Linked DNA regions of Schizosaccharomyces pombe. Changing the gene in region 1 together with any one later gene gives a genetic interaction. Each region holds a gene or a part of one and is shown on either strand. Other genes may lie near its edges. The genes, in order: apq12 and cdc31.

Evidence for each region.
Region 2: of apq12 (region 1) and cdc31, a mutation in one rescues a mutant of the other (synthetic rescue), as found in Schizosaccharomyces pombe (one study listed by BioGRID).

Annotation. Positions count from the first base shown.
Region 1 is NC_003423.3:447,158-450,066, reverse strand, and holds apq12 (nuclear membrane organization protein Apq12), read right to left. Parts: upstream 1,134-2,909; coding exon 786-1,133; 3' UTR 669-785; downstream 1-668. Other genes in the region: arg12 (argininosuccinate synthase), read left to right, coding at 1-296. UniProt on the Schizosaccharomyces pombe protein: Involved in the regulation of lipid homeostasis in the endoplasmic reticulum, thereby impacting nuclear pore complex biogenesis and localization, and nucleocytoplasmic mRNA transport.
Region 2 is NC_003421.2:376,387-380,321, reverse strand, and holds the start of cdc31 (spindle pole body half bridge protein, centrin Cdc31), read right to left. Parts: upstream 2,117-3,935; 5' UTR 2,094-2,116; coding exon 1,799-2,093; exon of another isoform or gene 1,633-1,798; coding exon 1,397-1,632; 3' UTR 1,258-1,396; coding exon of another isoform or gene 670-1,257; 3' UTR 595-669; coding exon of another isoform or gene 1-594. Other genes in the region: srp68 (putative signal recognition particle subunit protein), read left to right, coding at 1-594, 670-1,257; coilin Mug174 , read left to right, coding at 2,440-3,694, 3,732-3,935. UniProt on the Schizosaccharomyces pombe protein: Required for the proper coordination between exit from mitosis and the initiation of septation. Has a role in bipolar spindle formation during spindle pole body (SPB) duplication. Required for the localization of sad1 to the SPB.

The DNA.
Region 1 (2,909 bases):
TTACTTTCAATCTCGCTAAAATTTTGTACAATGGACAATTTTTCTCTCCCTGCACTCGTATGCTTTTAGCAGCTAACAACGTTTCTCAAGAGGTAGTAAACGGTGTAGTTAAACTTTCTGTCTACAAGGGCAATGTCACTGTCCTCGGTCGTAAATCTGATACTGCTCATCTTTATGACGAGAAATTGTCATCTATGGATGAGCTTGGTGGATTTGACCCTACATGGACCTCTGGTTTCATCCAAATCGAGTCTATGCGTTTGCGTAACTCTGATGAAGGAAAACATTGGATGTAAATGCCAGGTCGTTCTCAATAATAATGTCATACTCACCATGTACTTGAGCCAAGCAATAATCAAATTTCTGCTGTGCAAATAAGAAGTATTATTTGAGATGGCTTCCTTTTCATATTCACATTTCATAGAATTACTCCGTTCATATCACTGATAAGTCAATTGAATATTTTTGTTGCAAAAAAAAAATAAATTCTGAAAACTGTAACTAATTGAAATTGAAGTTTTATATTGCAAACGCAAATTGTTAAGATGTTTAATGTACTCAATACTATGCTTTTAATTTAAAAAATATTTTACAGGCCTTTAGCCATTCTTCGTATACAGTCCTAAAATCAAGAATAATGTCGAAACCATCTTGAATGATAAATGAAATGAGGAACAAAAAAGATGAAAAATATATTACTAAAATAAAATTTTTTAAAGCATATCCATAACACTTTGTACTCGGTAATCTGAAAAAACAAAGAAGATAACGCTGCTAGTCAATGTTCAAAAAGATCCGTTATTGATAAACCAGTAAGCAAAGAGACAACCGATTAGTAAGAAAAAAGAAATTACAGCAAGTGTTTTGAAGAGGGCAAGGGCAATACTGGTAGTCTTATTTACAATGACCAAAGAGAAGTATAACACTATAATCAAAGTCAAGATATTAATAGCTGAGGGCAAGCTCAATCCTAGATTTCCATTGAACAATGATTTTAGGAAAGACGTTTCATATTTTTCGAAACTTTTGCCTACATTTTCAACGGTTTGAAAGACTTGATCAGGATTGGTATTTAATCCATGGTCCACAGCAAGTTTGGCGACGAAATTCCATAAAACGGATGTCAAAGACATTTTCTAAAAAGTTAAAATATGAACGGGGAGTAATAGAGATGGGAGTAGTTAGGTGTGCTTTTTGACTGAATGTTGACGTTGTAGGCGAATTTTACCAACGATTACATTTGCTAATAAAATATGTTAAAATAAAAATTGGAAGATGAGTTGAAATAAACGGTTCTATAAACAAAACTCATTTAAAGAAAGAACTGGCAAACAGATTATGTCAACATATCTCATCTAATATCGAGACTACTGATAAAAAAATCTAATTTGCTAATGACTACAAGCTTTTATTGTTTACTCTTTGTTGCTTACAGTTCTAGTCAAAGGAGGTATTTTATTTTCGTATTTCGCTGTACATAGCATAATTTCATGAAATGCTTTTCTCTATAAATATGCTTTTATAAAGAACTAGTTAATAAAAAATTGCTTATTTCTAAGCTCTTTTAGGATTAGTAATATATAAAAAGGAAGATAAGTATTTTTATCCCTTTTTAACTGGATTGTTATTACTATAAAAGAAAGACTCTTACGGTTGATAATAAAAGCGTAGAGATCAGAAGATAAAAGTAGAATTCACCGCCTATATTTCCTTTGGAATAAATATCCAACAGTATACTTACTATTATAGAGAGAAAATTAATTTCCCTTTGCCCTTTATCATATAAAATGGTTCTTTTTATGCTGAGTGCCTAGCATAATTCCTTCCTTTTCGAAATATCAAAAGGCTTGTGAGACTTCAATTGGTAAATGCTTTAAAGTGAGTTATTACTAGCTCGCTTCAACCACTTCAGCTTGATTCTCCAATAACCGAGTTTTCAAAAGTACTCATTCTTGCAATTGCTATAAAATTTTTATCTTTATTTATACCATTACCATTGTAATATTGTTATAAGGCATCGCTTTACTTACTGAACATAAAAAAAATCTTCATCATAAAATTAATTAAATGTCAGAATAGAAAAAAGTGTTTAGAGGGTCCAACCGTACAAACAAACAACTTTTACGTTTTTAACATTTTCATTTCTTCAATAACCCCACAGTTGTTTTAAGCTATTACTTAAGCGAGGGCTGCACATGACAATGTGGCTAGTATACCCTTTATATACATTTTGAATATGCATATGAAACCCATTATATTAACGCTGGAATAGCGGGAATGCTTGTTTATTATATTAATTTATTCTATTGGAATGAATAAATCTTTTTTCTGGACATTTAAGAACGGCATGAAACAAGTAGCTCTAATAAATTAAATTGTTGGATCTTACTAAAGACTAAATATTAATAATAATTTTCTCCCAAGCTATTTATATACATATTAGAAGCAATTTGCAAAGATAGCAGACTAATACTCTTCAATGCCCAACTTCTTATTAGTGATATACATGTAAAAATATCTTTATTATGCAATATTATGTAGCAGCTCGTACAATGTTTGCACATCTTTACACAATAGTATTCATTTTGTATTACATTATCATTTATAATTCCATTTCACAGAGAGTAGGCATTGCTATTATATAATATAAATTTATATAAAACAAAAAGACTGCAAAATCATTTCCAACTGAAACTTCGTTCTTTAGTTCTATTAAATTATTAAGTATTGGAATATCAGATTTTTGTAAGTTCAGTAATAATAATATCATTATATTACACCGTTGTATTATTAATCGCATAATATTACTGTAACACTTTGTCCGTAATTTGCATCGTTATTTCAGTTAACAATTGTGGGTCCAAAATCTTAAAGTCTAATAGCGAACTACACCAGGTTTGCAACTTCAT
Region 2 (3,935 bases), on another chromosome or scaffold:
CAAAATAAAATTGATACACTTGCTGAACATGAGAAGAGTGTACTTGGAGAACTCCAAAATCAAATTGATTCCAATTTACGATACGTTGCTCAAAGAACTGGCTTGCAAAACCAGACCAAGTCATTAGACATTTTGATGTTGTCAAGTATACCGAAGGATGAGGAGGTAATTCAGCATGTAAATTCCGTTGATTCTGAAATATTGCAAATGACCGGAGATGAACAAGATTCCTTGCAAACTATCACAGTCATTGAATGGAGAGATCAGAGAGTAAAAATAGAGCATCCTGATGTCGTATTGGCTCTATATGCAATTCACGATGTCAAAAATTCTCCTGGAACCATAGACTCTAAAAGAGATCGTCTGCTTGCTGCATGGGCTAGAGCAGAAGAAATTACCAAAAGCGTTCTTGATAACACAGGCCTTGAAGACGAGCAAAAATTCCAAACTCTCTCTATTTGTTATACTTACTTGGCTTACAATGTAGTATTGCTCCGTATCCAAAGAGACTTGGCAGTTGAGAATGATTCCGAATTGGTTGCTTCACAAGCTCAGCTTCGATCTCGTCAAAGCTTGTATGATTCTATTATTAAGGTAAGACTTTGCTTTTATTCAGAAGAAATAATTTTTAAAGAGAAAGGAGGGACAAATACTAATAGATTGCTATAGAACATTGAAATTGCTAAAGAATTGCCCGGTATTGCACGAGATACTGGTATGACTGCCCAACTAGAAGCCCAAATTTCTTTGGCTAAGAGTAAACGCTGCCAGGCTATTGCCGATGCTTACCAGGCACAGGATAAACTGGCGAGTCTTGCGATGTGTGTACGAGCTGCCTCGTATTTACAACAGGTGAATGATATATTGCGCAACTTTGAAGAAAAGCCACATCTTATAGCATTCGATATAATCCCTGAACTTAAAAAAGACGAAAAGGAGCTAAAAAAGAAAATTTTGCTATTACAAAGTTTGGCATCCATGGGAAATATAAATCAACCACCTAAAAACTTGTCGTTGGTTGAAACACTTGATAGTTATCAAACGCTTGCAGAATTAGAACCATCTTGGAATCTTACAGACGCTGATATTAGGGCTATTCCAGCAAAGCCTTTATTCTTTGATTTAGCTATTACATATCTAGGTCAGCAGACCTCTTTTGACAAAAAGAAAGCACAACCGGAAAAACCTGTTACATCAGTTTCGAAAGAGCCTAAACAGAAAAATAAAGGGTTCTTTAGCAGTTTGCTTGGACGATAGAAAAACAGGTTGGAAGAACTTAAGAGATTTGTTATATATAAATAAGAATTTAAAACGAAAGACATGTGTCCCTGCTAATTGCTACTTTATCTATTAATTGACGTAAACGAAAAAAAAGTAAATTAGCATGTGTTCTCCATTATGCTTCATCCATCATAATTGCTATAAATTCTTGCTCATTAATTTCTCCATCCTGATCAAGGTCGAATTCTTCAATCATGGCTTCCAATTCCTGATCGTCGATGTTTTCATTAAGCTCTTTTGCAACTCTTCGAAGATTCCTTAAACTGATTTTTCCTGTCTCGTCATCATCAAATAACTCAAAAGCCCTTTTAATCTCTTCTAATGGATCTCGTTCAACAATTTTTTCCGTCACTATATCTAATTAGTAAACACGTTCAACAGAAGAAGAATGACAAGCCATATAAGAGTGGAAAAAGAAATTTAAAAAAAAACTCATTTTCAAGCCAGTTGTATGTGTCTTCCCTATTTTAAATTTCCATCTAATAAAATATATCAATGCCAAGACGTGCACACTTACTGACGCGAACAAAATCCTCCATTTGTAAGTAGCCCTTGCCAGTTTTATCAAAATCACGTAGAATTTTTAAAACCTCTGATTTTTCCGCATTAAACCCTAAAGCACGCATCGCAGCCCTGAGCTCATGATAATCAATAGCATTATCTTTATCAGAGTCAAACAGCTTAAAAGCTTCATTAATATCTTGTCGCTGTTCCTCTGTAATCTCTACTCGCAAAGGCGCATATCCTCCCAACCTTGCAGGAGTCGGTGAAGATGCCCTTGAACGCCTTTTAGCCCGTGCGTTAGCAAACATGTAAATGTGGTGGTAAACAGAACGTCTTAAATAACAGCAGGTGTGTGAGTATTTACATGACACTTCTTGTACGCATTGATTCTAACAAAATAGTAGCACATCGTTAATTACTTTACGGAATAATATGGTAACAATGTTAAATTGACAACGTGTAGAACTTGTAAACAAACCATCACAATCAATAAAAAAGTCTTCATACTAGGTTTTTTACTTTGACGCATTTTTTTCAGTTAAGTTCTTTAATCATAATCTTTTTATGAAAATAAACACATAACCTGTAGGTGTTCACAAAAAATCCTCTGCACAACGAAACACTCGTTATAACTAATAGAAAAATATAGTCAATATGCTGCTGAAAGTTAGCAGTTGTGAACCTTTGGTTCCTATAAAACAATGGATTCATACGTCCCAACTTGATTTATCAGACTCATCTAGTTTAGTGGCTGATTTACTTTACAATATCATCAAATTCAACTTTTCCGGACTAGAAGATAAACGCGCTATCTTCACAGGTTATGAAAGTATTAAAAGGTACACCATTGGTAATGAAATGTTTTTACAACTCGCTAAGGACGGATTCGCTTTACCTGTCTCTATGTCGTATGGACTATTCCTAGAAGAGACAGATACTCTTGAGCTTCGTGCTTTACCAAGGTCTGAAGGCTTACACAGAGGTTGCGAGGTGCTTGTACTAAGACTAGATAGTCCAAATGAACTTAAAGAAAATATTAGAGAATGGTCGTCTAAATTCATGAATAGCAAGGCTTCACAAAAACAGCAAATGCTATCACCCGAAACGATGCAAAAAGTTGATTTAGCTGGTCGTGCCTCACCTCGTTATCAAGCTAATGATTCATGGATTTCTAAAAAGAGAAATGCCCCCTTGTCATCTATAAGTCAATACGCTAATATGCCCGAAAATTATGCTTTAAATACCAAAAAGTCGAAAATTTCAAATGAAAATGATACTATTTTTAAAGCAAATTTTCAACAAAACAAATATGAGTCTCTACATGCTAAGCAAATTTCTGCTTCCGATTTATCATTGCACCAAGAATTCGTTTCAGCTTCAATAGTACAGCAACCAGAGCTCAATTCATTGTTGACTTCTCAATCAAAGAATTCAACTCCTTCGGAATCTGACTCATCCTCTTCCGAATCTTCAAGCTCAGTTTCAGATTCAAGTGACCTATCGTCAACCAGTGATTCTTCTTCAGGGGATGAAAGTTCGGACACAGCGAGACAATCTTCTTCAGATACGATTTCTTCTAATAATGTATCGGTGTCAGTTTCTTTAAATACGGCGAACGAGTTTTCTTTTCCACAAGGAACCTTTAAAGCCGAAAATGAAGCAGTAGAATCTGAGGTCGCCCCTTCTTCAAGTACGCCTCCTACTGTTGAAGAAATATCTTATCTACATTATGATGAACCTAGCCAATACTACTTTTCCTCTCCTAGCAAATTATCTAGTGAAACCACCAAAGTTCATCGAGGATGTGAAAATACTGAAAAACCTTCAGAAGAAGGAAAAAATTTTACAACCCCTTTATCAGATAGTGTAGAATCTGAAAATACTTGGAGCAATACCTTGCGTTCAAGTGGTAAGTCCCATTATTTAGGTGTCAACTAACTTAGTAGTTGAGGACGATAATACGGGTGTTTCCGATGATAATAAAAAAAGCAAATTAAATGCTGAATTCGATGGCCATGTTAATAATATTTCAGTTCGGCCTCCCGGATCTGGTTCATCAGCTACAAAAGCTCGGAATCTTCGTCGTAAGAAAGCAAGAATATTGAAACGTTTGATGCAAGAATCTAATGATACTTTTTCAGCCAATGAAT